Elephas maximus indicus: one gene and its partners. The protein of the gene in region 4 interacts with the protein of the main gene of each other region in a biochemical or structural test. Links are inferred from orthologs where the notes say so. Each region holds a gene or a part of one and is shown on either strand. Other genes may lie near its edges. The genes, in order: UBR5, ZRANB1, USP30 and UBC.

The links.
Region 1: the proteins of UBC (region 4) and UBR5 form a complex in vitro, tested with the Homo sapiens proteins (7 studies listed by BioGRID, with this or other methods). The link is inferred for Elephas maximus indicus from reciprocal best matches to the Homo sapiens genes UBC and UBR5.
Region 2: of the proteins of UBC (region 4) and ZRANB1, one has a biochemical effect on the other in vitro, tested with the Homo sapiens proteins (10 studies listed by BioGRID and IntAct, with this or other methods). The link is inferred for Elephas maximus indicus from reciprocal best matches to the Homo sapiens genes UBC and ZRANB1.
Region 3: of the proteins of UBC (region 4) and USP30, one has a biochemical effect on the other in vitro, tested with the Homo sapiens proteins (5 studies listed by BioGRID, with this or other methods). The link is inferred for Elephas maximus indicus from reciprocal best matches to the Homo sapiens genes UBC and USP30.

The regions. Positions count from the first base shown.
Region 1 is NC_064833.1:39,566,285-39,573,788, reverse strand, and holds the start of UBR5 (E3 ubiquitin-protein ligase UBR5), read right to left. Parts: upstream 3,015-7,504; 5' UTR 2,968-3,014; coding exon 2,906-2,967; intron 1-2,905. UniProt on the Homo sapiens protein: E3 ubiquitin-protein ligase involved in different protein quality control pathways in the cytoplasm and nucleus. Mainly acts as a ubiquitin chain elongator that extends pre-ubiquitinated substrates.
Region 2 is NC_064834.1:74,981,283-74,988,704, forward strand, and holds the start of ZRANB1 (ubiquitin thioesterase ZRANB1), read left to right. Parts: upstream 1-4,407; 5' UTR 4,408-4,491; intron 4,492-7,422. UniProt on the Homo sapiens protein: Ubiquitin thioesterase, which specifically hydrolyzes 'Lys-29'-linked and 'Lys-33'-linked diubiquitin. Also cleaves 'Lys-63'-linked chains, but with 40-fold less efficiency compared to 'Lys-29'-linked ones.
Region 3 is NC_064840.1:19,533,300-19,541,012, reverse strand, and holds the start of USP30 (ubiquitin carboxyl-terminal hydrolase 30), read right to left. Parts: upstream 3,012-7,713; 5' UTR 2,846-3,011; coding exon 2,763-2,845; intron 1-2,762. UniProt on the Homo sapiens protein: Deubiquitinating enzyme tethered to the mitochondrial outer membrane that acts as a key inhibitor of mitophagy by counteracting the action of parkin (PRKN): hydrolyzes ubiquitin attached by parkin on target proteins, such as RHOT1/MIRO1 and TOMM20, thereby blocking parkin's ability to drive mitophagy.
Region 4 is NC_064840.1:5,697,770-5,704,662, reverse strand, and holds UBC (polyubiquitin-C), read right to left. Parts: upstream 3,022-6,893; 5' UTR 2,914-3,021; intron 2,063-2,913; 5' UTR 2,060-2,062; coding exon 230-2,059; 3' UTR 151-229; downstream 1-150.

The DNA of each region.
Region 1 (7,504 bases), on a different chromosome or scaffold from region 4:
AATAATTAAAGATTTTTAACCTAGTATGTGCAGACTATCATAAAATTAGGAAGTTTGGGAACACACATTAAGAAAAAATATCAGGTGTTTTTCTTTGTGCTGGGTACATTTTAGATGTTTAAGACATCAGACTATTACACTGAACAAAATGTTTGACTTTTAACAGAATGTATGTATTTAAAGAAAGAAAATTTATTTGGAGAAGAAAATATTGGTGGTGGTTTCAGCTCAACAGTTTTCTTTAACTGGGCAATTTATTTACAGTACCATACTGCCTCATCAATCTTACTGCTTTTCAGGTAAAGAACAAAGTCTACCTATTTATAATTTTTCATCCAAAACTATCATTTATCATTTAGTTTATGACTATCACAAAAGACACATATCTTACAAAAATCAAGCTACAGTAGCACACTCTTTTCTATTACCAGAACTTAATAAGCTTTGATTAAGTTTTTATCTGAAGATGAAGATCTTCTGGGCTGCTCGTTCTGGATCATTAAAAGGGTCCAGAAAAACCAATCATGAATGGAAGCATTTTTCTCAAGCAATAGGTTGATCTTGTGCAACTCTGCCATGAGGCATGCAAAACAGATCTTTTCTTTTGAAGGGCAGACACAACAGCTCCCAGCACAAATCTACTATTCCAAAACTTAAGTTGCATGACTGTCTCAAATGCTGCCTTTACAAAACGAATCTTGACATTTTTACAGCTACTAGATACAAGTACCTAAATTTCTACCTACAGCACGTTTCTATTTACTCAAGTATCTGTCATATTAATGCACAGATTTTATAACCTAAATCAAATACACTTGTCTTTTTTCCTTATTTCATGGAATTAAAAATTCAAGATGGTCTCAACATTCTTAATATTGTATCTTGACACTATAGGAATCAAAATCAAAGCTGACTGTTTACACTCATATTGGAGGAAAAAAAGGCATCTGTAAGAAAGATACATGTAAATTTCTCAAGACAGCTGAAGCAAAAGGAATGCTCAAAAATAAACCAGGTGCCCAATACAATTGTACTATAGGTTTTGGCGTGCACAGCCAAGTGAGTAAGCTAGTCAGGATTCCTGATACATAACAGAAAATTGGGTTTAATATAGAAAACATGACCTAGTTCTCTCCTCCCTGGTGCAATTTTCTAAGTTACAGGACAAGTACTACTCACTTGGTTCTATAAATGACAGTAGAGCTATCCTCACTACCAGCCTGAATCTAAAGAAAATTACTTCTAAATTTACAAAGAATCTTATGTTGAAGTCTTAAAAACATCACTAAATAAACTCAAAGGATCAGATAACAAAATGTTAAAATAAATAACTTGAAGGTTATTTCCATATTTAAAGGAACTATGTGACAACTTAAAATGGTTAACATTTTCAAAAAGTACTCCAAAAGTTTCACAAGCATGTTAAATACAGTATGGCTACAGCAAAGATTACACAAATCCAACCCAGTGCTAAAACCAAGCCTCCAGTTTTCTGGACTTAAAAGTTGCCCGGCCGACCTGAGGCGGTTATACACATCAAGAAAGGCCAATATTTTAGCAGCAAGTTAGGCCTCTTCCTCCCTCCAGGAAGCGCATGACAAACAGGGCGTCATGCAACTTATGTCACCAGGTCACTTAGCAAAAATTATACCTAACTTCTAAACTTGGGACCAGACGGCCTATTACACTCACAAGAAATACACAGAGTAGTATTGGGGGAGAGGGAGGCTTAAATGCCCTACCTTCTGATCCTGTAAACATTTAGCCCATCATTCGATCTGAGTCCTAGATTCAAAGACATGCTTTAATGGAGGCCTCCCTCGACCTCCTGAGTCTGTTTTGCAACAGTAAAGGAACTTTTCCTGCTTTATCTCAGTTCCCTGTGAGCATGCGGCCCTGCAATTCAATATCCTAAACTGGCCGGGAACGGTGGAGGAGGGAAGGGGAGGAATCCATGGCTAAAACAGCCTTCTTATGAAAGACAAAAAAAAATACATATCATAATTCCTCCTCTGCCCACAGCAAACTCATCCTAGAAATTTACAGCGTGTTAAGAAGAGCAGCATTGCGAGCTGCAAACGCTAGGAGTTTTCCTTTGACTCTACGCACGGTTTTCAGCTGTCAAATTACAACTCAGGAAAACACTATCATTAGAATAAAAAGGGGAACAAAAAAAGCTCGCACCACAGGGGCTGGAAGGATGAACTGCCAGTACCGTTTCAAGACAGGGAGAGCAAAGGCAATCCGCCCCGCGACGCCCGCCTGAATTCATCCCCTCCCCGGGCAGGCAAGCCTCACTGCAGGGGCTCAAATTCAATAATAATAACAATAATCATGGCGCTTCCTCCCTCCCTCGCCGCCCTCCCTCCCCCGCGAATGCCGGGAATCGGCTTCTCCCCCCGGGATCTCCCAGGACTGGCAGCTCCGGTCCAGCTCTCCGGACCCAGCTCCCGGGAGCCGGGGCGAGCCAGCCCAGCCCTGCCCCGGCCCCCTCGCCGCGCTTCTCCTCTTCCCTCTCTTTTTACCTCCACCATCCCCCATCCGCATTGTCTGTCTCAATTCAACTTTGACTAATATGGATTCCTAGGGCCTGGGCCGGGAGGTAATTACAGCCCGCCCCCCCAACCCCGAGAGCTGGAGCCCCCCATCTCCGCCGAGTTCAACGGGGCCGCTCAGGGCGGGGGCTGCGGTGCGCTCTCCCGTCTACACCGCGGCCCCCGTCTACACCGCGCGCCCCCCGCATCCTACTGGACAAGAAGTTTGGCCCGGAAGGGGCCTAGCTCGGGGCCGGGAGGACCCCCCCGGCGGGCGGACTGCGCGTAAACACCGGCGCCCGTCCGGCGCGGCCCCGTGGGGGAGGGGAGGGCGCCCCTCCCCCCGCCCGCCCGCCCGCCGGCCCTATTACCTGTCATTGAGCTGGTCCTCGGTGCCCGGCAGCGGGTGAACCACGAAATGGATGGACGTCATGGTGCTTCCTTCTCGTCCTCCTCCCGAGGACTGCCCCCTCCGGCGCTCGCCCACCCCCCGAGACCCCTTCCCCTCCCCAAAACCCACTGCCGCCGTCGCCGCCTCCTAGTCCCCAGATGGAGGGAAGCAAATGCGCAGGGGCCGCCGCCGCCTCCCTGCCGGGCGTGTGTCGGCGGCCCGGCGACTCGGCGGGGCGGGCAGGAGGGCGGATCAACACGCCACCCGCTCCCCCGGCGACAGCACCAAAGAGTGCGAGGCCGGCGGCCGGGACCCGAGCCGCGGCACCGCCGCCGCCGCCAGCGGCAGCCGGGCGTCGGGAAAGGGGCGACTGGGGAGGGGGAGAGGGGCGGGCTGCGGGGTCGGTGTGGTCCCGGCGGCAGACGGGGTCCGGACTGGGGGAGGTGGGGAGGGAGCTGAGCCCGCACCGCGCGTCACTGGCGAGAAGCCGCCGCCGCCGCCACCAGCACCGCCGCCGCCATCTTCACTTCTGCCCCAGTTTCTCCGTCTCGCAGGCTCCGCTCCGGAGCGGCGGGGGCGGGGCGAACGGGAGGAGGAGGAGGGCGGAGACCGGCGGGCGGGGGCACGGCTGCGGAGGGGCGGGGCTCCGGGAAACGGGCGGTGAGGCCCTCTCGATTGGGCGGCTCAACGTTGTCGGGCCACGGCGCTGTAAGGCGCGTGAGGATTGGGCTGGTCGGCGCCCGAGCCCAGCCCTCCGCGGGGGGTGGGCTAGCTCGGAGTGAGTGTTCCGGGGAGCACGTGTTAGGGAAGGAGGAGGCGCAGGGGCGGCCCCGCCGGGGCTGGTGGGGAGTTCGGGAGGGAGGGTAAGTGTGTCCCGAGGGAGGTGGGAAGGGAGGGGGGCTCTTCTCTTCTCTCTCCCTGATTTCCCTGGGGCAACCCGAATTATTTTGCCGATCCTTCGGGGTGTTTTGTTGTTTCTCTTTCATCCGCGTTTGTACTTAAAGTGAAAGTGTAGTATCAGATAAAGGGCAAGAAATAAACAGCCTTTTATTTTATTGGAGAAGTAAGGTATTTATGTAAGGGCCTTACCTGAAGGTGATAGTAGGATCAGGGAACTGACTTTGCAGTTCTTTTGCAACTCTGGTCTCCGTAATGTCCCCCAACACCACCACCATCCCATACCGCCACAAAGAGAAAACGTGGACACAAAATAATTTACTGATCTAAATGATTCATCATTTTTTTATTATTGCTTTAAAGTGAAAGATGGTATATCTTTTCTACAAAGAAGTTCCTCAGCTTGTCATCAGTGGGATCATAACTGGAAGTACTTGAATGGATTTATCAGCTTTTTTTCTTGGAAAGCCAAATCATAGCTTTCTTCCCAAGGTTTCTATGATCTTTTTAAAAACTCAAGTACTTCTGAGGAACTCTAAAACTTAATGGCAAAAACTGAAAACAGTTCCTTCTTCCCTGACATACCTCTTAACCAGTCTGTGTGAATGTTAGTTAAATCAGGGGTCCTGTAAAATGTTAAGAATAAAATATCGCTTTTCCTGTTAATGCATTGCACACACACACACTCTTGCTTAGGAAATTTCCTTGTGCAAAGTATATGAAAATTTGTTTATAAATCAGAATAGACTAGGTAGCCTTTGAGACAAACAAGGGAACACTTTTGTAGGTCCCTTGCTCCAACATCGGCCCAGATTAGCTTAGATTAAAAGTGACTTCAAGGCTACTGTGTGTTAGAAACCCTGGTGGCACAGTGGTTAAGAGCTAGGGCTGCTAACCAAAAGGTCGGCAGTTGAGATCCACCAGGCATTCCTTGGAAACCCTGTTGAGGCAGTTCTACTCTGTCCTGTAGGGTTGCTGTGAGTCAGAATTGACTTGATGGCAACAGATTTGGTTTTTGGTATGTATTAGAAGTCCATGTGAGCCGTGGGGAGACAAGGTGGCCCAGTGGAGACTGTTGGTTTTAGAAACAGACCTGGATTTGAGTACTGGTTCTGCTATTTAACTAACATTATTATCTTGGGTAAGTTATTTAACCGATTGTAGCTTTTTTTCCTTCTCATTTGTAAAATGTTATGTTATTTTATTTAATGTATTAATAGAGCTGCAAAGAATTGTGATGGCGTACATATTGGACACCTAGAGCAGTTCATAACACATAGTAAGCTCAGCAGATAAAAGATTTTATTTGTTGAATGCTCACTTTGTACCATTTTATATACCTTTTATATGTATCAGATTGCCTTAGGGTGGTAAATGGTATTATCCCCATTTTGTGGATGAGAATACTGAGAGCCAGACACCTTCAATAACTTGCCCACGATGACATAGATGATAAGTCCTAAAGTTGAGACTTATACCCAGGTCTTCTGACTCTGATTCAGTTGCTCTTTCTACTATACCACAGCTGCTATTAAGTAGTTAATAATTTAGAAGGAACAGACTATTTAAAGCCAGTTGAAAAAGATGTGATATGATAAATGCAATAAAAGTACTATGGAAGTTAAAGGAGAAAGTGATTCCAGTGAAAAGAATTCAAAATCATTTAAGCTGAGCCTTCAAGAATGTTCTGGGCAAATAGATTACGTAGCTTAAATCCGATCCTTTTAGATTTGTCCCTGAACCAACTCCATACTTTGCCCATACCGTGCCTTATTTCTCTTTTTTTCCAAATCTGTCCTTCATCTTTTTATTTTGCCTCCACCCTCCTTTTGACCTGATTTACCCACTCCTAGTTTCCAGTGGTTAAGAACTTGGCTGCTAACCAAAAGATCGGCAGTTCAAATCACCAGCCACTCCTGGGAAATCCTGTGGGGCAGTCTACACTGTCCTATGGGGTCTCTATGAGTCAGAATCAACTTGACAGCAAAGGTTTCAGTTCAGTTAGTTTCCTTTAAGGACTAACGTGCTCCTGACCCAAGCCAAGGTGTTTTCAATCACCTCATATGCATGTGAAAGCAAGACAATGAGTAAGGAAGACCGAAGAAGAAGAATTGACGCCTTTGAAATACGGCCTGCCTTTGGCAAAGAATATTGAATATACCATGGACTGCCAGAAGAATGAACAAATCTGTCTTGGAAGAAGTACAACCAGAATGCTTCTTAGAAGCAAGGATGGCAAGACTTTCATCTCACATACTTTGGACATGTTATCAAAAGAGACCAGTCCCTGGAGAAGTACATCATGTTTGGTAAAGTGGAGAGTCAGAGAAAAAGAGGAAGGCTCTGAAGGAGATGAATTGACACAGTGGCTGCAACAATAGGCTCAATAATAACAATGATTATGAAGATGGCACAGGACCCAGCAGTATTTTGTTCTGTTATACATAGGCTTGCTATAGTCGGAACCAACGCAACAGCACCTAACAACAACAATGACAGTTTCTTCAAGGAGCCCTGGTGGTGCGGTGGTTAAGCACTCAGCTGCTAACCAGAAGGCCAGTGATTCAAACCACCAGCTATTCCACAGGAGAAAGCTGTGACAATCTGCTTCTGTAAAGATTACAGCCTTGGAAACCTTGTGGGGCAATTCTGCTCTGTCCTATACGGTCCCTGTGAGTTGGAATTGACTTGACAGCAATGGGAGTTTCCTAGAACTGTGACATACTTTCTTGGCAGCCCTTTCGAACTGCCTACTTGATCTCTGACTCACGACCATCTTGGCATTGCTACCTTTTTGTGGTCCCAGACTGGCATGTTTGCAACAATCCTCTTCTTCCAGGGCTGATACTTTGGTGGGTCATATTCTGAACCGGGAAAAAGAAGAACAAAGTCATGGAGTTGTGAAAGCCAATAGGATGCATGGGTGGAGTGGTGGGGGAAATGGAGATAGAGAAATAGAAATAAGCAGGACTCAAGAAAAACAATCTCTGTGAAGACTCAAAGCGTAATACCAAAAACAAAACAAAGCCTATTGCCGTAGAGTCGATTCCAACTGATAGCAACCCTATAGGACAGAGTAGAACTGGCCCATAGGGTTTCCAAGGAGAGGCTGGTGGATTCAAACTGTCAACCATTTGGCTAGCAGCCAAACTCTTAATGGCAGTGCTACCAGGGCTCCCAAAATATAAGGCTACAAAAGGAGGCTGGGGACTTACTAGTCCTTTGAATTAATCCTCCCTCTGAGGACAACTAGAAAAGTTGTACAAAATATTTCTTTAAATCTGCTTAAAGAAAAAGAGAGCTAACAAAATAATGATGACTTCCCAAGCCAGGATCCAAAGGAAGAATGAGACCCAGGGAAGTGAGTCCTATGTTTGGAGCCACTTTTTCTTCTAAAGATGAATGCCAGTTCTAGAGAGACAGGCTGAAAAGCCAAGAGTCTGAACACTTGACAAATGCTCCGGACTAAAACAACAACGATTGATATGCAGGGCCTCTTATTCTGTGCTGAGACCCTGAAGGGCTACACCCCTGAAATAGGCCAAGTCTTAGATTTGGTTTCCCAAAAAGCAGACCTTGAGACAAGGGTTTGACTATAAGTAGTTTATTCAGAAGATGATCCCAGGAAGCACTGTATGGGAGTGGAAACAAGGAAGAGAGAAAAGCCAATAAAAGGGGTTCT
Region 2 (7,422 bases), on a different chromosome or scaffold from region 4:
GTTGCTGAGAAAGGGCTCCCTTGCTTGCCAAGACAAATCACTGTGCTTTGATTACCTCCCTCCTGGGTTTCAGTAATTTTTTTCCTTCTCTACCTTCTCTCCTCTGTTGACGAAAGTTCTCAGATATTCCTGTTCTTAAAAATAAATACTTGAAAGAGAACAGAACCCTTCCCTCGTTCTTGCTTCTCCTGTGTCTAACATCTTTTGCTTCCTTTCATTGCTGAATGTCTTGGACTGGTAGTCTATAATCACTGCTTTAGTACCCACACATGCCTTCAGCTTTTGAAATTTGGCTTCTCTCCCTGCCATCCTACTGAGAAATTGTTCTCTAAAAGGTCACAAAGTCTCTTGTTTGTCAAATCCAGTGAACTTTTCTCTGTTTTAATTCCTCTAAGTTTGTAGAATCTGACATTGTTTGCCATGTTCCCTAGGCTTGGAATTTGACATTGTTGATTACCATGTCCTTTAGTCTCACACCTGAGGTCCAGGATGCCGTTGATTACCTGGTTCATCTCCTGTCTTTTGTACTACTCTTTTTTTCTCCTTGGATAGTTCTTCTTTTCCTTTCCTACTCCTGGCTTAAGTGGTAACTTGTGCATAGCTAACTCCCTGATGTTTATCTCCAGCTTTAGCCATCACATTTCAGGCCAGCATTTCCCCTGCCTGCTGCACATTTCCCTCTGAGTGATGGGCCAGGATCTCCACATACCTGATCCAGTAGACAGCATCTCCTATCTAGTTCCTCTTTCTCTTCATGTTTCCCACTGTTAATGGCACCGTTCACATTCAGAGGTCTCTGACTTTTGATTCTTTCTTCTGGCCCCAATTCAGGTACTGGCAAGCCTTGAACATCCACACTCTTTCACCTCTGTCCCTTCCTTCCCATCCCCACAGCTACTTTGGCTTAGGTCCTTGTCTCCTAATTGGTTTCTCTATTTCCCTATTCTGTTTTTACCCTCTTTTGTCCCACAGACATTCCAGATTAAGATATAGCTCTAATATTGGTGTTTCCATTTCTATTAATGGAATTAAGTACAGATCCACAATTTTGCATTGAAGTATTCGCAGTCAGTCAGAAAATGTAAAGTATAATGGTATCTTCTAAAGGTAGTTTGGGAAACAGCTGAAATAAAAGACAGAACTAAATGTCAACAAAATTATACTGTCCCTACACTTCGGTAGAGGTTCTCAGAAAAAGACTTAAAAACTGGATATGTTTTTCCAAATGAATTTTTTTTATAACTCATTGAGAAAGGTGGTTCAATCTCTATGAGAAACAGCAGGATCAGTTCCTTAACTATGACAATGCTATCTGCTGTTGTGTTAGATATGAAGCGCTGCTCTAACAGAAATAGCACAAGTGGATGGCTTTAACAAACAGAAGTTTATTTCCTCAGTTTAGGCGGCTAGAAGTCAGAATTCAGGGCACTAACTCCCAGGGAAGGCTTTCTCTCTCTGTCAGTTCTGGGGATAGGTCCTTGTCATCGATCTTCCCCTGGTGTAGGAGCTTCTCAGCACAGGGACCCTGGGTCCAAATGAGACGAGACGCACTCTACTCTCAGCGCTTCTTGGTTGGTGGTAATGTGGTCCCTCTCCTCTCTGCTTGATTCTTTTATATCTCAAAAGAGGTTGACTCAAGATACAACCTAATCTTGTAGATTAAGTCTTGCCTCGTTAACATAACTGCCTCTAATCCTGCCTCATTAATATCGTAGAGGTTAGGATTTACAACACATGGGATAACCACATCAGATCACAAAATGGTGGACCATCACACAACACTGGGAATCATGGCCTAGCCAAGTTGACCTACATTTTTGGGGGACACAATTCAATCCACAAATGCTGTATTTGTTCACATCTTTTTAACAGATATGGTGTTATGGGAAGAACATTTGATTGGGGAATCAAGAACTCTGGGTTCTAATTCCATACGTAGTTGGTCTGGCTTTTGACAACTCTCTTAATTTAGGCACTACTTTGCACATCTGCAATACATGGAGGGTGGTGGGCGAGTAGGACAACATAAGTAGTTCTCAATTCTGGCTGTACATTGTAGCCACATGGTACGTAAAACATACCCATGTCCAGTCCCTCCTCTTAGAGACGGTTTCAATAGGTCTGGTGTTGGGCCCCAACATTCGTATTTTTAAGAAACTCCTCAAGGTATTCTGATGTGTAGCCAAGGCTGAGAACCACTGGACTGATATTAAGAGTCTTTTCAGCTTGAACAATTCATAAAATACCACCTTCTTTATTAGAGCCATTTTTTGTATTTGCTCTTCCTCTCAGTTACATGATAATTTTCATTTGAATTTACATGGTGCTTTGCACATTCTGCCTTATATAATGATAACTATGGTTGTTTTTGTCTTCTTTCCTATGTCTGTTTCCTCAAACACAGAACGTGTCTTACTCATCTTTGTGGGCTTCCTGTTCCTTGGCACATGGTAGGTACTTATTATGCTAGGTAAACTACAATTCAAACTAAACAAGAACAAACACCTAATTTGGTGACGTGTCTACTTATTAACTTGGAGGTAGATGCTCTTTATCCTTGATTCAAGAAGCGGGAACTGGAGGTACTCAGAGGCCCTCAATGGAGATATTTTCAAGTGAAATATTGGTTGAAGCATTGTGATGAAATATTGGTTGAACCATTCTTCTTGCATAATGACTTAGTGATTTTATATCTAATTGTTAGTTACATATTCAAGAATGTGGGTTAAGTTTTACAACAGACGAGATTGTTGTAGTTCAAACTCAATGTATTGAAGAGCCATTAAGCAAAGTATTTTGCTGTTATGTACTTCAGATTTGACCACGATGAAGAGGATTATGGAAAATCTGTCACAGGAATGGCTGTGAAGATAAAATATACCAATGGTTATGAAATGTTGGTGAGAGGAAGCTATAAAGGGTTCTTAATTGCCATAGTGAAGCTGTACATACATCCTTTAACATATCTATGCAAAGAGAAACTCAGAACACCAGGGATAATTTTACTCGATAAATCCCCATCTAATTTTTAAAAATCTGAGTAAATGCTGAATAACACTGTCTCCTAGTGAAGCTGAGGTGTCCAAATGTGACTGCTAAATGCCCTTTGAAAGTGCTATAGCTTTTCTTCATCAGATAACTTGAAAGAGATTTACAACTCTTAAAGAGTTCCTGTGTTTTATGGGCTTCCGAATTCTTCATAGAAATAAAATTTGAAGTATGAGAAATGAAAGGTGACACCTCAATGGGAAAAACTAAGCTCTCTGGCTAGAAAAAAATTGACTCATGGAATTTTAACAGATAGCTGACTCATTTAGACTATTTTTACGGTAAAAAAGAAATATACAAAATATATCGCCATATAATATATTCTATTTAGAATCTGGGCTTTGGGGACTCTCAGGGCAGTATTTTTTCCATGGCTGTCATTTATCCTCGGCCTTAAGGAATATCTCCAATTTACAGAAAAGGCAGCCATGAGAAAGTTGTATTTACCCAACATTAGGACCAGCATATGGCGGAGGAGAGCGAGAACCCAGGGTCTCCATAGCTTTTCCTCATATATTTATGTATATATGTAATATAGGTGTATATGGAGATAAATACATATACACAAAATATGTACAAATTAGATATATAAAAATTACACTATCACAAACAACCAAAACGTTTGTCTTCTGTGGTGTCTTATCGAGAAACTGCATATGAAGAGGTTAAGCAGAACAGAAAGTTCCTCAGGAGACGTGAGACTTGGGCGGTAAAAGTTTGGTGAATTTGTTTGCAGAAGAGAAGGGGAAGAGTTCGAAGAAAGACAAGTGCGCCTCGAGACGCCCGCCCCACAAGGTGCTGTGAGGCGCCGTCGGTCTCCGTTTGCCTCCGCGGGGCGTCCTCCACCTCGGCCAGCGCGCGCTACCCTCATCTCCGCGGTTGCCGCCCAGGGGCCGCGATGTGGGGGCGCGCGCCGCAGCCTCACAATCCGGGCCCGGCGCCGGCGTGATGTCACGCCTCTGCGGCCCTCCTTCTGCGTCCGGAAAGAGGCGGCCTCCCATTGGCTGCGTCGCCGGCGGCCTCGGGCCAATGGCAGGGCGGCAAGCGGCGGGGTCGGCCCTGACGTCTGCCGCTCGCCGCGGGGTTTATTTGGCTCCGGGTCCCCTCTGTCGCCGCCATTAAGAGCCCGCAGCGCCCGTGGCCGCCCCCCCCTCTCTCCCCCCTCCCCCCGGCGCCCCCCCGCCTGCGCGCCTCCTCTCCGCCCCTCTCCCCCCGCCTCCGGCAGCCCGGAGCCGCGCGCCGCCCGCGGAGACCATGTCCTGACTGAGGGGAGAGGGCGGAGGCGGCAGCAGCGGGGCGGGCGGCGGCACGGAGGGAGGCGGAGAGGGGCCGGGCTCCGCTCGTCGCCGCGGGCGGCTCGGGGAGTCGCCGCCGCCACCGGGCGCCGAGCGTCGGACAGGGAGGAGGAGCAGGAGCTGGAGGAGGAGCCGCCGCCGCCACCAGGTAACCGGGCCCAGGAGGGGCGCCCCGCCGCAGGCCCCCGCGGCCTGACCGGCCTCCCGCTCCCAGGTGGGCCCAGGCCGCGGGGTCTCTCGGCCGCCCGCCCGCCCGCCCGCCCGGCGCCCCCCGGGGCGGCGGCGTTGCAGGCGACGGCGGGGAGCGGGGGCCTGCCGCGCAAACCCCGTCGGGCCCGGGTCTGCCGCCGGCCGGGCTTCCATCTTTTGGGCTTTCCCGGGGCGAGGAGAGGTCGGGGGCTCCGGGAGGGCGGGCCCGCTTGTTTACCAACGATCGATCAGCCGCAGCTGGACGCGTTGCCGGCCCTGCCACCGTCTTCCGCCGGATTTTCCCCCAACTTCTCTTCCTGCCTGATCCGAGTCTGTGATGGGGTTTCGCTCCCGCTCTGCAATAGGCCATAAATACTTGGGTTCATCGCCACAAGTTGGTGCTGGCCTCCAAACTTGGATTTCAGTCTCTTGGCCGCTTCCTCTCTGTCTCCTGCGGTGGCCCCAGTTGTTGCCATTTCTGTCTAAGAAATCAAGGTCGGGGGGCAAAGGTTGGGGGAGAGGAGAAAGAGCTGGAACTGTGGACAGATGATCTGCCCGCCTCGCTCTCGGTAACTCTCGTTCGGTGCAAGTAGCTGTTGTTTTCTGTGGGGCTTGCGTGGGTCATTTCATAGACAAAAGGACTGTAATGAATACTTGCACTAAGTACAAGGGACTGGCAGTTTAGGTTAAACCTGGAAGTTGGAACTGGCCCACTATCTTTGAGGTTCACTGATGTTTTCTTAACTCTTGCTGAGAATTTTGAGTTTCAGTCTCACTCCCTTTGTCCATAAGTCTGCAGACTTTCAGGTTAAAGGCTGCTCTCCCCAGTATTTTGGTCTGTTTGTTCACCGTATGATCCACGGTATTGTCATTATAAATCTGATGTACAAAAATGTTGTTTTAGAGCCACAGCTGAAGAGACACCTTTAACTTCCGGAAATACTCCGTAAGGAGTGCTTCTGGTACTTGTAGGTCTCCCTTTTTTAGACGGTGTCCTAATCACTCGTGCAACCTCGAGGTACCTCTGTTTTGATCAAACATAGATGACTCAGTGAGTAACCCATAAGCCAGGGAAAACCATAAGGAATTTTGATCTTGGCTTGCGCCAAGGGCTGAGAGCACGTCATCTAAGATGTGTTTGTGAAAAATAAAACTGGATCTCTCTTCTTGGTTGTTATTTTTAATTAAATTAGGTAGTTCTGAACACATTTAGAACTCTGCTCCCCTGTTGATTTTTGGGTCTTATGACAAGGTGTGCAGTTTCCTTCTTACTATAAAAGTGCATCACGTTGTTTTTATTGGGCTATTAGGAGGGGGCTAAAACTAGTAAGACGGTAATGACACATTTTCATCTTTTGGGAAGGCTGTCATTTGAATGTCATGAAAGATTTTTATTTCTGTTGCTCATGTTTGAGCACCTTTTATTACAGCCTTAGAGTATTGGGACACCCGTTTATTTACTCTTGAAATGAACTCGGGTTAGTATGAAGAACTCATTCATGATATAATATGTGTTAAGCTCACGGCCTTGATCCAGACCTGTACACTGATGGGGTTCTGGCACAGCCCGTTTAAAGTCTGAGGGTTAACAGAGCTTTGGAACTCAGGGTCCAGTGGTACAACGTTTGAGGTAAGTTGCTTCATGTGCGTAATTGATAGAGTGAGAGCTTCTCCAGGTGCTTTATACTTATACTACTTTTATAATAAATGTAAATAAACAAGAGTTGTAGACCACCATAATTTTTTATTTAACTTCTTGGGTCACTTTTACTATTTAAGCATTGCTGCTCACACCCACCCCCACCCCAATAATATCCTTTTGTACCTGGCCTAGAACACTTTTTTCCATTGATGTGATGTTTTATTAGGAATATTTGTGCTCCACTTATTCTTCGCATAAAATAGTGTCTTGCACATTTTAATATTGTCCCCTCCTCACATCACGGTATAAAGACTTCCAGAAAACTCCTTATTACATGGAAAATAAAGCTCAGTTTCCCCGGCATGGTCAAGATCCTCCAGAATCTAGCCCTGATCAGTGCTTCAGTCTTAATGCCATTTCTCCCCTTGGTGGATCCTTGGTTTGTTTTTCCTGTGAAGTCTCTCCCCTCAGCTTTTCTTTATGCTGTTCTGTCTGTTTGGAATCGTCTTCCTCTTGTATTCATGGATACTCTCTGTACTCTGAGCCCAGGTAGGGCCTGTCTCTTGAGGAGCCTTTTTAACTACTTCAACCCCAAGGGATCTACTGTTCCCTCCTCTGTTGTGCAGGATGGTTTTCTTCCTTCTTGTCCTAGCACTGCTAGCCTGGATTTCAGTTGCTTTTATTGTTTTTATTCTGCTTCCCAATTGGACTTTTAAGACTTGAGAAATGGGTTTGAGCCCTGTGCCTTGTGTGTATGGGGAGCATATATTCAGCTCTGACAATTTGGACTCGTGCTCTGACAGTGACCGGTGATGGTTATAGTGGTATTCTAGGATATAGACTTTGTACTCCTCCAAGTATTGGAGTTTCTGGGACTGTGACAATTTCTGAGACAAAAATATTTGAAATTATGGCTGTCTTTGAAAAAACAAAATACTTGATTAGCATGTTTATGCCTATTGCCAACATGGTTCCCAGCCTGTAGAGGATGGTCAGCATTTTGATAATGATCTCATCTTATTTAAATAAAAATAAGTACCGTAATTCTGTGGTTTACTTCGGATTTGAGTCTGGGGCAGTTACTTGGGTTCATTTGAGATCGGCACCAGTGACAGCAAGGGGGACCATTTCCTACTTGTATATAGGTAACGTTTAGCATCACATGAAGGAGAAATCACCTGTAGCTTCAGTTTGGATCCTTAACTTCGGATGTTGGCAGCATGTGTCATTGATCATAAGGCAGATGAG
Region 3 (7,713 bases), about 14 Mb from region 4:
GGGGTCACTCTGAGTGAGAATCAACTCAATGGCAACGAACAACAACGACGTATAGGTCATATAGTAAAAGCTTACTAAATGTAGCCACTACTATTAAGTATTACACCTACTCCTCACTTATCACCTATCTCCTTATCTGACATTTCGCACTTATAATAGTAAAAAAATCTACTATCCAATTATTTTGCACATTAATGACGTAGGTCTGGCACTAACGAACGCCAAGTGCAAGGAGAGAGTAACGCTAGCTGTGATGGTGAAGGTTATGTGTCAACTTGGCTGGGCCATGATTCTCAGCGGTTTGACTGTTATGTGGAGGGTAGATAAGAAAAGGAGATGGGAGCTCTGGCAGGACTGGGAGATCCTGATAAAACTGGGGACCCAGACTGGGGGGACTGACAGCTATGTAATGACGTAGTCATCCTCTGTTTTGTGATCTGATGTAGTCATTCTCCATTTTTGCACAATGCTGATTTTCACATGACAACCTGGTCTTTGGAACCTACCCATGTCGAAAAGTGAGGAGTGGGTGTATAACCTCAGAAGTTTCTTAATGCATCACTGTGCTGACTTACATTCACAAGAGTGCCTGGGAAGGTTAAAAAAGACTATCAGAAATGCTAAAACTCTTTACAAGTGTTCTTCATGTCCCTGAATCAAACACTAATATTTCAGTGCATAAGGTCCCTGGATGGCACGAACAGTTTGTGCTCAGCTACTAACTGAAAAGGTTAGCGGTTCAATCTAACCAATGGTGCTGCCGAAGAAAGGCCTGGCGATCTACTTTGTAAGATAACAGCCATTGAAAATCACACGGGGTCCAGTTCTACTCAGACACAGACAGGGTCACCGTGAGTCAGAATCGGCTCAACAGCAACAGGTTTTGAGGCACTGTGATAATCTCGTCTCATTCTCAAAGCAACCCCAGAGGCAGATTTTATTTTCATCCCCATTTTTATAGATGAGGACACAAAGGGATGTGGCCACCTGGTCAGTGAGTCAGGCAGCCAGGATGTGAACCCATCCCAGATGGGCTCCCCAGGCTGTGCTTAAAACCACAATGCTCATGACGGCAACTGAAGGACAGAGTAACAAAGGGACGGGACAGAGGATCTGCCCTAAATCTCTGGGTGGTACAAATGGTTAATGTGCTTGGCTGCTAACTGAAAGGCTGGAGTTCGAGTCCACCAGGAGGTGCCTCAGGAGAAAGGCCTGGCAATCTATTTCTGAAAAATCAGCCACTGAAAATCCTATGGAGCACAGTTCTACTCTGACACACATGCGGTCACCGTAAGTCAGAACTGACTTAACACCAAATGGTAACAGGTGGTTAGCAGGGCATGCCTGGTGGCGTAGTGGTTAAGTGCTATGGCTGCTAACCAAAGGTTTGGCAGTTCAAATCCACCAGGCGCTCCTTGGAAACTCTATGGGACAGTTCTACTTTGTTCTATAGGGTCGCTATGAGTTGGAAGTGACTCGACGGCACTGGGTTTGGTTTTTTTGGTTTGGTTTAGCAGGGCATGCACAAAAAATCAGGGCAAATGACAGACTTTGGAAACTTCATTCCTCTGCAAAATGGCAAGTCAAGAAGGGTAGTGGGGCCTGGGTGTGAGATCTGGCTTCTCCTCCCGGCTCTGCTATCAGTTCAGTAGTGAGACCACAGGCAAGGCCGTCTCAAGGCCCAAATTCCATCTATGGAATGGGGACACTGAACAGAATAGCCATTGAGGGCTTGCTTCCAGCCCTGGGATAATGGCTCTTTAGATGTGCTCCAGTTTGAGAGGACAGAAGCTGATCTGAGGAACAGGTTTCAGTCAATTAGGGTCAGTACGGGGGCTGCAGTGCTTAGCTCCGAAGCCTGGAGCACGTGGAAGAGTGGATAAGAAAAGGAGATGGGAGCTCGGGCAGGGTTGTGATCCTGATGGAACTGGGGACCCAGACTGGCAGGCCTGGCAGGAATGGGGGAATCTCAACAGGACTGGGGCAGCCTTTTAACAGTTTAAGGAGGCCACGTTGGTTAAGAAATCCTTGCAAGTAAAGGGAGTCACTGATAAGATTGTGAGCCCAGACAAAATTGGGGTTCTCTGGCAGAATGAGGTTCTGATAAATGAGGTTTTGATGCGGGAGGGGACAGCCGTAAGGACTGAGGAAACCCTGGAAGGATGAGAAAGTATGATAATATCGGGAGGCCCTGGCAAGGTGGAAGGATTGGGGAAATCCTGGAAAGATTTTGGGGCCCTGGCAAGAATAAGGGATCCTGCCAAGACTGGGGAGCCTTAGCTGACCGAGGGGCACAAACAAGACTGTGGGACTTCTGGAAAGATTGGAGAGCCCACAAAGATAAGGGGACCCTGGCGGGTCCACATACTGGCATGATCGGGGGGCCCAGAAGGATCGAGGTATTCCTAGAAAATTCGGGGGGCCCTGGCAGGCCTGGGAGGCACTGAGACAACAATGAACATTGACAGAATTCGGTGCCTTGACAAGATGGGGGAGATTACGCAATCCTGGGCACCCCCACAGGGCTGGGGGGCACTAGCAGGTGGGGGAACGCACTAACAAAACTGGGGGGCGCTGGCAGAATTGGAGAGTGCAGACAGAAACGGTGTTGCCGAAAACACTGGAATCCCTGAGAGGCCCGTCGCCCCTCCCGGCCGTAGAAGCTTCCAGAGTGACCCCTCGGGCCCCGGGAGCCCCGACCAAAGCGTAAAAAGGCCGCCTCCGGCCGGGTCTCCGCGGCCGCCCCGCCCCCCACAGCTCACCTGAGCACCGCCCCGGCCCGCAGGAAGCGCTGGAGAGCCCTGTCGGCCGCCGTCATCGCCGCCTCGGCCCGGGGGCTCAGCATAGCCGCTGCGCCGGAGACTCCGCCGCCGCCGCCACCGCCCCCGCCGCCGCGGCCGGACCCAGGGCTCTGAACGCTCCGAGGCGGCGGAACCCGCGACCAAACACGCCCAGCTCCTTGGGGGGAGGGTAGGCCGAGGGGACAGGCGCCCGGATGGGGCCGGAAGTAGCCTCCACCGGAGAGCAATAACCGGCGGACCACGTCCTTCCTTCTGTGTTAGCGAAGGGCTACCGCTGTTTTTTTTTTTTACTGTGGGGGGCGCTTCCGGGTTGTTGATTTTCCAGGTTTTGCCCTGGGCTCCGTCCATCCGTACAGATGCCCCGCTCCCGGGCGGGACTGTGGGTCCTGGTTGGAATTTGCCAGTGTGGAGAGGGCGGCCCCCGCCCGAAAGTGGGGGTCAGGCCCAGGCTACCATTAGTTGTTACTGTCGTCAGAGAGGAAATAGGTCTCCAAGGAAGGACCTTTGATAAAATGTGGTCCAACTTTGACGTCACCAGTACGGAAACCGAGGCTTTTAGTCATAACAGCCACCTAACTTACTGTTTGCTTAGGTGCCTGGTGCATTGCAAAGTGCATCGCACGTATTATTCACATTTAATCTTAACACTATCCTAAACATTACCCGTATTTTACATCCGAAAAAACCCAAGAAGTATAACTTTTGACACAGCTTGTAAGGTGTGCAATTCAGATGGACCGATCTGTGTCTCCAGGATAGTTCCGTCCGATAGAAACATAACAGGAGCCACATATGTAATTTAAAATTTTCTGGTAGCCATGTTTAAAAAAAAAGGAAAAAGCAGGTGAACTTGATTTTTTTTTTAATTTATTTGTATTGTTGAGACTATACACAGCAAAACGGACCAGTTCAGCTGTTGCTACATGTCCAATTCAGTGACATTGATTATATTCTGAATTATGCAACCATTCTCACCCTCCTTATCTGAGTTGTTCGTCCCCCGTTAGCATAAACTCTGACTATGGTTCCTAGCTAATCTTTGGAGTTGCTGTTTTCAATTTGATCTCATTTAGATAGTTAAAAGAGCACAATGCTCAAGGCAGACATTTTTTACAAGTTAAGCTAAAGTATTGTTTGGTTTTAAGAAGACTTAAGGAGATATTTTTGGTTTAAGGTTTTTAAAGATTGTCTCTGCAATATTTTCAGGGGTTCATGCAGCCTCCGTGGCTCCAGAAAGTCTAGAGTCGACGAGAATTTGAAATTGTGTTCTGCCTGTCCCCCCTTTCAATCAGGGTTCTCCTATAGAATATTTGATCAAAATGCTCAGTAATGGTAGCCAGGCAACCATCCAGTTCTCCTGGTCTCATGGCAAAGGAGGCAGTTGTTCATGGAGGCAGTTTGCCACACATTCCATATCTTCCTCCTATTCTCAACTCTTATTCATCGTCTGTTGATGGAGGCAGATAGAGACCAATTGTTATGCCTTGGATGGTTGCTTGCAAGCTTTTAAGACCCCAGGTACGACACAAGAAACTAGGAGGTAGAACAGAAGCACTAAACACATTATTAGGCCAATTAACTAGGGTGCCCCATGAAACCATGACCCTAAACCTCCAAACCTAGGATCCAAATGCCATTAGGTATTTGGTGAACTTGATTTTTATAATATATTTTACTTAACCCAATGTATAAAAAATATTATCATTTCTCTATAAAAACTGTTAATAATGACAATCTTTCATATTAAGTACATCTCAATTTGGATTAGTTACTTTTTATATGCTCAATAAATACTAGTAGCCAGTGGACACCATACTTTTGAAGCATTAGGGCCAGAGAGAATTTACCCTCCTTTTAGATCAGTTTCCCAATTCCAGAATCAGTAATTTTAACTGCTTTAGTGAAAAAAGAATCCTTCAGTTCAAAATTTTTGGTCTCAGGACTACTATGTATGCTTAAAAATTATTGAGAGCTTTACTTATTAGATTATATTCCACTAGAAATTAAAATTGAGAAACAATTTTTGTATGCTTAAAAATTATTGAGAGCTTTTGTTTATTGGGTTATATTTATATTTATTCTACTAGAAATTAAAATTGAGAACTAATTTTTGGCTTTTTAATTGAGGTACAATTTACACAGTAAAATACACTCATTTTTACTTTAGAGTTCTATGAGTTTTGACAAATGTACACAGTCATGAAACCACCACCACAATCAAGATAGAATCATCAACCCACAAAAATGACTTCCTGTCCCTTTGTAGTTAACCTTTCCACCCAGTCCCAGTCTCTGGCAACCACTGATCAAAACTAAAATATTTAAAACCCAAGAATACCTAAACATACATTCCATTAGTTATCAGAGCAACAATGTTGTCACACATTGCATAGCTTCTGGAAAACTCCGGTGTATGCTCACAAGAGAATGAGAGTGGGAAAGGCAAAATAATGTCTCAGTATTATTATGAAAACAGTTTTAACCTCAAAGGCCCCCTGAAAAAGTCTTAGGTGTGGCTGCAAACCCCACTTTGAGAACCACTGCTTTAGCCTGACCTGGGAATAACCTGCCACCCATCAGCAAATCTGCTCAGACCTCTAAGTTCCAGGCTCTTTTAAATAATTGGCATTTGTAGAGCATCCGTAGTCAATCAATTCACAGATGTTTTTGAGCACTTTACATGCTGTATCTCGTTTATTCTTGCAATGACCGTGTGAGTAGTAACAGCACTCCACATCTCACAAAGCTAACAATGTCCCTGCCGCCTGGCTCTTACTCCTCTTCTAACAAGGGAGGTGCTGCTGTCGTTGACTAATAGATGTTCTTATAAATAGGGGGCGTATTACTAATTTATGACAATAATGCCACAGCAAGTAACCAGCAGGGCCCACTCTGACATCCATCAGGCAGATCCAGGATCTGTGGCATCTTGGGAGATAACAGGGTCACTAGGGATCAGTCCCTGGAGAGGGACATCATGCGTGGTAAAGAAAAGCGTCAGCGAAAAAGAGGAAGACACCCAACGAGATGTACTGACACAGTGGCTACGGCAGTGGGCTCAAGCATAACAACGATTGTGCAGGACCGGGCACTGTCTCCTTCTGTTGTACATAGGGTCACTATGAATTGGAACCTAACAACAACAACCGAAATCTCTTGGCTGTTGTGATTATCCTGCCGGCAAAGGGTTTATCCAGAGGCTCAAGTCCTTGGGATAAAAACCTGAAGTAGCATTCTTCAGCTGCCCCTATCTGGATTCAGCTGGAACTCCTCCTTTGCAACTACTTTTAGAGAGCTATCTCATTTTGGTATTTAAATTACTGTCTGATTATTGTGGTAGAGTATGTAACATTTGCCATTTTTACATGCACAATTCACAAAATTACCTTTACCGTGTTATACAACCGTCGCCACTATCTGTTTGTCGTTTTTATTTCAAAATTTAAACCTCAAACCCAATTCAAAAGTTTTCTCCACCCTGACCAAGAGAAGAGCGTGGCCTGGAGGCAGAAGCGAGGCTAGCTCTCCATACCTTCTCCATCCGCTTTCTTTTCTGGCCTCTTGGAAACCCTGGTGGCATAGTGGTTAAGAGCTACGGCTGCTAACCAAAAGGCCAGCAGTTTGAATCCACCAGGCACTCCTTGGAAACCCTATCGGGCAGTTCTACTCTGTCCTGTAGGGTTGCTGTGAGTTGGAATTGACTTGATGGCAATGGGTTTGGTTTTTTTGGTTAGGCTCTCCCATGTCTCAGAAGAAAGATCTCAGAGATTGTGATCACAATGTCAGACAAAGCCACAAGAATGATCCCCTTAGGTGTCTTTTTAATACTAAAAATAGTTATTATTCTCCCATATTGTCCTACCAGATAGGAACATTGCTTTCCATTATCTGGGAAGTCTTTAGAACTAGGCGTAGACTTCGAAGGAGAGGCTATTTTCTCCCTTTCTTTGGGGAGATTCAGGTGAATCATTAGTGGAAACTGGGGCACCCCTATTCTCAAACACCACACTCACCCAAAGGCATTTTCCAACCCACAGATCTCCCCTTTAATTGACTAGGGGAAAGTGGGCTCAGCCTCGTTCTTGCTTGTCTTAGTCATCTAGTGCTGCCATAACAAATACCACAAGTGGATGGCTTTAAAAAAGAGAAGTTTATTCTCTCACAGTCTAGTAGGTTACAAGTCCAAATTCAGGGCGTCGGCTCCAGGGGAAGGCTTTCTCTCTTTGTTGGCTCTGGAGGAAGGTTCCTTGTCACCAATCTTCCCCTGGTCGAGGAGCTTCTCAGGCACAGGGACTCCAGGTCCAAAGGACATGCTCTGCTCCTGGTGCTGCTTTCTTGGTGGTATGAGGTCCCCAATTCTCTGCTTGCTTTCCTTTCCTTTTATCTCTTGAGAGATAAAAGGCGGTGCAGGCCACACCCCAGGGAAACTCCCTTTACATTGGATCTGAGTAAGGGTGGTGTTACAATCTCACCCTAATCCTCTCAACATAAAATTAACAATCATAAAAATGGAGGACAACCACACAATACTGGGAATCATGGCCTAACCAAGTTGATACACACATTTTTGGGGGAACATAACTCAATCCATGACATTGCCCTTCTCAGTAAGCCCCGAGAGAAGAGTGGCCTCAAAGATAGGCTCTAGCTGCCACCTCTCTCAATTTAGAATTTATAGCACTCAGTGCCCTTTGTCCTCAGCTTTGAGCCTTAGTGTCTGCTCTGGAAAAAGAATAAGACCTTTGTACATAAACCTGGAGGGAATTATCCTGAGTGAAATAAGTCAAACACAAAAGGACAAATGTTGTACAAGACTGCTATTATAAAAACTCAAGAGAATGTTTGCACACAGAAAAAAACAATCTTTGATGGTTACCAGGGAGGAGAGGGGAAATCACTAACTAGATAGTAG
Region 4 (6,893 bases):
CCATCCACTTAATTTATGTATTGAGGTCATGTTTCAAGGCCAACATCTCACCTCCTCAAGGTTCCCACTTGAACACTTCAAAAACCGTAAACCTTAATTCCCCAACCAAGCCCCAAAGGAACGTGACTTAGCACTAAAAATAAAGAACAGTATTTTGGAATGCAACAACTTTATTCAAAGAAAAGTGCAATGAAATTTCTTGAAAGCTTAAGAGAAAAGGGGGAACAACTTAAACACCTCCCCTCAAGCGCAGGACCAGATGCAGAGTGGACTCTTTCTGGATGTTGTAGTCAGACAGAGTACGTCCATCTTCCAGCTGTTTCCCGGCAAAGATCAACCTCTGCTGGTCAGGAGGGATGCCTTCCTTGTCTTGGATCTTTGCCTTGACATTCTCGATGGTGTCGCTGGGCTCTACCTCAAGGGTAATGGTCTTCCCAGTCAAGGTCTTCACGAAGATCTGCATTCCCCCTCTCAGACGGAGGACCAGGTGCAGAGTGGACTCTTTCTGGATGTTGTAGTCAGACAGGGTACGTCCATCTTCCAGCTGTTTCCCGGCAAAGATCAACCTCTGCTGGTCAGGAGGGATGCCTTCCTTGTCTTGGATCTTTGCCTTGACATTCTCAATGGTGTCGCTGGGCTCTACTTCAAGGGTGATTGTCTTACCAGTCAAGGTCTTCACAAAGATCTGCATTCCACCTCTGAGCCGAAGTACCAAGTGCAGAGTGGATTCCTTCTGGATGTTGTAGTCTGACAGGGTACGTCCATCTTCCAGCTGTTTCCCAGCAAAGATCAATCTCTGCTGGTCAGGAGGGATGCCTTCCTTGTCTTGGATCTTTGCCTTGACATTCTCAATGGTGTCGCTGGGCTCTACCTCAAGGGTAATGGTCTTCCCAGTCAAGGTCTTCACGAAGATCTGCATTCCCCCTCTCAGACGGAGGACCAGGTGCAGAGTGGACTCTTTCTGGATGTTGTAGTCAGACAGGGTACGTCCGTCTTCCAACTGTTTCCCGGCAAAGATCAGCCTCTGCTGGTCAGGAGGGATGCCTTCCTTGTCTTGGATCTTTGCCTTGACATTCTCGATGGTGTCACTGGGCTCTACCTCAAGGGTGATGGTCTTACCGGTCAAGGTCTTCACGAAGATCTGCATTCCCCCTCTCAGACGGAGAACCAGGTGCAGAGTGGACTCCTTCTGGATGTTGTAGTCAGACAAAGTACGTCCATCTTCCAGCTGTTTCCCGGCAAAAATCAGCCTCTGCTGGTCAGGAGGGATGCCTTCCTTGTCTTGGATCTTTGCCTTGACATTCTCAATGGTGTCGCTGGGCTCTACCTCAAGGGTGATGGTCTTACCGGTCAAGGTCTTCACGAAGATCTGCATTCCCCCTCTCAGACGGAGAACCAGGTGCAGAGTGGACTCCTTCTGGATGTTGTAGTCAGACAGGGTACGTCCGTCTTCCAGCTGTTTCCCGGCAAAGATCAACCTCTGCTGGTCAGGAGGGATGCCTTCCTTGTCTTGGATCTTTGCCTTGACATTCTCAATGGTGTCGCTGGGCTCTACTTCAAGGGTGATGGTCTTACCGGTCAAGGTCTTCACGAAGATCTGCATTCCCCCTCTCAGACGGAGAACCAGGTGCAGAGTGGACTCCTTCTGGATGTTGTAGTCAGACAAAGTACGTCCATCTTCCAGCTGTTTCCCGGCAAAGATCAGCCTCTGCTGGTCAGGAGGGATGCCTTCCTTGTCTTGGATCTTTGCCTTGACATTCTCAATGGTGTCGCTGGGCTCTACTTCAAGGGTAATGGTCTTACCGGTCAAGGTCTTCACGAAGATCTGCATTCCCCCTCTCAGACGGAGAACCAGGTGCAGAGTGGACTCCTTCTGGATGTTGTAGTCAGACAGGGTACGTCCGTCTTCCAGCTGTTTCCCGGCAAAGATGAGCCTCTGCTGGTCAGGAGGGATGCCTTCCTTGTCTTGGATCTTTGCCTTGACATTCTCGATGGTGTCACTGGGCTCTACCTCAAGGGTGATGGTTTTACCCGTTAAGGTTTTCACAAAGATCTGCATTGTCTGAGAACAGAAAGAAACAAAGGACCCAAAACTTTAGCAGGTAATTCAAACGTCACTACGTTCCTAACCCAAAAAATAACAATTTTTTACTAGACCAAAAAAAACAAAACAATTCTCTCCCAAAAAACTTCACGATATAACCAGTGACAAACCTAACAGATATGACAAATCACCTGAAACCCCAGATTTTAGCCCCTCACGAAGGCAGGCTGGCAGGCACCCTGACCGTAGAAACTCGGCAGCCTCCCCCGCCAGAACGTCTGTCCCCCGTCGATTCAGCAGGGGCTCCCCCAGGCCCACACTCTGCGTCGCCCCGTGACTGCCACAAAGCTCCCCCACACATTTACGGGCAGGCGGCCCCACCCCAGACTGTGCGCCGAACAGAGCGGGTGACGTCACGCTCCAGCGCTGCGGCCGCGGGCTCCCTCTCCGGCGGGGGCTGAGGTGCAGAGCTGGCCACGGCCACGGCGGCCGGCAACCCGGCCTTTACTCCCAGTCACTCCCCAAAACTCAGACGCCAACGTCAGGTTCCCCTGCCCAAGCCCGCCCGACAGAAGCCTAAGCTCACGCCCACCTGAGCTTCGCTCTCCCTCCGCTGAGCCCTGGGGGCGGCCTGGCGCTTCTCTCCCCTCACAACCTTCCCTCCCTCAGTTTCCTCTCTCCGACCTTTCAGTCAGAAGCGACCGCCATTTTGCGGCGTTCGTCCCCCTCACGGCCACCCTGCTGCAGGACCCAGGAGACTAAAAGCCCCGGCTGCCCTTCGCCCGCAGCGAGCAGCACTGTCTGTCCCCCACCCCTCGCAGCCGGACGGCCCCGAGGCTCCCGGGCCAGCATAGCAGGATCCTACTCACCAAGCGGCTGTGGAAACAGAGAACGCAAAGAGAAACAGAAACGAACACCGACCTCGACGGACGTCCCTGCACCACACCCGGCGCTTCTTTATATAGTCATAGCAGGCCTCCGCCCCAGGGAGATTCCTCCGCAGAAACGCCGAGAAGGAACTATTTTACCCAGCCCCTTTGGCAACCTAGAAAGAAAACTAGACCCCAAACTCATCCAAGTCCCCTCATAAAATGCTCTCCTGTCAAGACTGGGGCTTTCGGGCTGGGTCGGGTGGGCAGCGGATCACCGTCCCGAGGGGCCTGGCGGAGGAATCAGCGCGTACACAGTGCGCTGCGACCGAACGTGACCGCATCACGCCTTGGGGGAAGGGAGAGGGAGCGGGTGCCGGGTGGGGGCGGCTCGCGGCGGCGCGAAAACCCGGCGCGGAGCCGCCTGGGTGTCCGGAGCGGGTGGGCCTCCGTGGCCGGTAGCCCGACCCCGACGCCCCCCCTCCCCACAGCAACCGTCCCCGCCGTTGGCGACACCAGCTCTTGGCGGGCGACAGGTTCGGGCCGAGCGCCTCAGTCTGGGTCCGCCTCCCCTCTGGCGCGCCCCGCCCCCATCCGAAGCCAGGGGTCGTTATTTTGGTTCACATTTGAAATAATTATAGTGTTTGTTTCACTGTGTCCCCCCACCACCAAGGCCTGTCGTGAGGGTCCCCTGGGTTCCCAGCACCCCTGCTGAGGCGGCCCTGCCCACCCCCCACGGAGCTGGCACGGGGACAAGGCGAATGACTCGACAAATCTCAGATTTGCGGCCCAGCCTCTGGGCCAGGACAAAGGCCAAGGCCAAAATCCAGGCCTCAACTAAAGTCTGGTCCTAAGGACAGGAAATCTTCAAAAACAAACGAAACAGTTTTCCAATGGAGAAATGAATGTGCGTGCCTGGATTGAATTAGGAAAAAGAAAGGAAATCCCACAGTTTTTTTTTAATTATTTGCGCTGGAATTGAAAGCTGACACACAGAAATTTCTAGGCTGTTCTTTAGCTTCCTGTTTATTCGCTGGGGCCTTGGGTTTTTGTAAAGGTTGCACTTCACTGTAAACAAGAGGCGTTCGAAATTTCACTTCTGTTGATGTTCAGTTCAGCTCAGAAATCGAACGCAGTTAGGACTCATTTTAAAATTTGACACCAATTGAGTCTCAGCCTTGTATATTTTTGGGAAAAAAAATTTAAATATCCAGAGTATGAAATTTACTTCCACAGGCAAATTCCATTTTTATACAAGAGAAGAAAAACGATCACCAGCCCAGATTTTTATTTTTATGATCTCTATGTCACTTCTTCAGCTTATTTTTTAACTGTTTTAAAATATATTAACACGGTGAGAATTCAGAACAGGTTTTTATAAGTTCACAGTGAAATCTACCTCTTTCCCCTCAATTGTCTGGCCACCGTTCCATCTGGATTCTTCTAGAAATACTCCCTGCATCTACAAATGTGCGTATTTTAATTTCTAACCTTAAAAAAGTCAAGAGACAGAAGAGCCAGCTGACTGAAAAAATTTTTCTGCTATCAGGAATAGAATACATTCCTGTTTTAAGTTACAGATGTTATTTTTAAACACACTTAAAATTTTAATCAAACCAAAACAAATGCTATATATATTTTTTATGGTTGCCTGTGTATGTATTTATGAAAACACAAAAGATCTGAGTGCTGTTCAAAATAGATTTTAACCTCTGTAATTTTAAGCATTTTTCCAAGACAATGAAGTAATGTGTTACTGGAAAATTAAAAATGAGTTATAAAGAATGGAATGCCATTTTCAATGCCTTCCAATACAGAGTTCTGTGAAGGTTATTTCTCTCTAAATTTCTGGAAAGAGACGTTAAAGAAACAAAAAGTTGAGGTTCGCTATGAGGTTATTTCTCTTTAAATTTCGGTTAAAGGAACGAAAAACAGATTCTTTCTAAGGTGACCAGGCCCTGCTTCAAACCACACCCTGTTTGCTTTTGGCTGTTGCAAGTCTTGTAATTCTTGTTGCTTAAAGGCTGAGTCACGAGCTATGTGACATGGTTATCTTCAGAGTCAAAAGGTACAGAGAAAAACATCCCTGATTTCAGAGGCAGGGGAGAGAGAAGAGGAGGAAGAGAAGGCAAAGAGGAAAAAAGAAAGAGGAGGAAAGGATTAGGCCAAGGGTTACCTCCACAAAGAAAATAAAGTTCCTGTTAGTTGGGAGGGTACTTATTGTCTCCAGCAGAAAAAATCTCTGAAACACCCCCGTATTCCCTAACTTTAAGTCCGAGAGTGGGTTATCGTTGAAACAAACAAGAAGTAAACATTTCCCTGAGGACCCTGAAGTTGGGGAGAAGGAGCTTAGGGGACAGCAATGGCCTCCCTAAAGAGGTGGGTGGTTTCCTAGAGCAGTAGGCCTCAGCCAGGAGCAATATTGTCCCCCACGGGGCATTTGACAATGTCTAGAGACATTTTTGATTGTCACAATTGTGGGTTATGGAATGCTACCAGCATCTAGTGGGGAGAGGCCAGGGATGTTGCTAAACATTCTAAAATGGACAGCCTCCCACAACATATAATTATCCAGCCCAAAATGTCAACAGGGCTGAGACTGACAATCGCTGCTCTACAGAAGGATTTGTTGTTACAACTGCTTTTCTACTTGCTGAGAAGGCCACCAAGGCCCAAAGTCTGAATGTCCCCCTTGGACTCTGGAGTCAGGTATCAAGTCACGTTCCTAAAACCTAAAACCCCTGACCTACAATGCAATGTACTAGAATGTGCGAGAAGCAGGATTAGTCATTGGATCTGTTTCCAGTTCTTTCCACCCACAGATCCATCCTTTGCAAGCATCCCAGAATAGATTGCTTCAGAGCTGGCACCAATGGAAAAGTGACAGGAGCCCAGCAACAGGGCAGGATTGGCTAGCAGATGTGCGCACGTGATGGGCTGAGCTCACAAAGGGCCAGGGTGTTTGGCTGCACCTGAAGGTGGGGGTGGGGAGCGGGCAGTTGGATTGGTGCCCGTTTGTCTGCTTTTCTTCCTTTCCCCCAAAGGTTTCAGATCCCCTGAAGGTCACAGCCCTGTATGTGACTTGATTCAACATCCTAAAACTGTCTGAGAACGCAACAGTCAGCAAACATTTTTCCCCCAAGAGAGAGGAGGAAATGTGAGAGCTAGATGGGGAAAGTTTGCCTTGCTTTGTCATTGGTTATATAACCAAAAAAGGTTGTCAAGGAGATCTGCAGGTTAGAACACTTGCAAAAAAATAAAATAAAGCCCATGGGATTTTGTCATTTTCCTGTTTACACAGGTACATTTGAATTGTGTGGCAGGCCACAAACTCTTTCAACTTAAAAATGACCAATTTTATCTCCCGCCAGTCAGAAAATCAGACTGAAATTTTAGTCTCCAAATTTGTCAAATAGTACCTTATGAACTTCAGGAAGTTATTGAACCTATTTGGGCTTTGCTTTTTAAAATGTAAGATAATATTTAACAGTTGAATAACTTCTTTTTCCTCAACGATTCAACAACTCTTCTAGAAAACTCCATTTCCTAACAAAACTTTACCACCACCAACTTCTTAGGGTATTTTTTTTTCCCTTTCAGTTAACTATTAGAAACAGTTACGTACAAGATACAAAGTGAACCAGAAGCATATGATTAGTTTTGTGTTAGGCTTGATCGCCTTAGGAATCACCTCAATGTTTTGTTCCTTCAGAACTTTGACATTTAGGGAGAAATAACCTTTACTGAAGCTTGTTAGACACAAGCTGTCACCAATGCGCCACCACCTAACTGGTGAGTCATTTCATGAATTTCAGTTTCCTTATCTCAAAAATGAAGGCTTTGGGCTCAGGAACCTTCCAGATCTAAGTTTTGACATTTTTATGATTAACACTATGAGGTCAAGTCAAATTAGAGAATGGATGTGAAGAGGGGAGAAATTCATTATTACAGCAAAGAACTATTCCCATAGAATCCTTTCT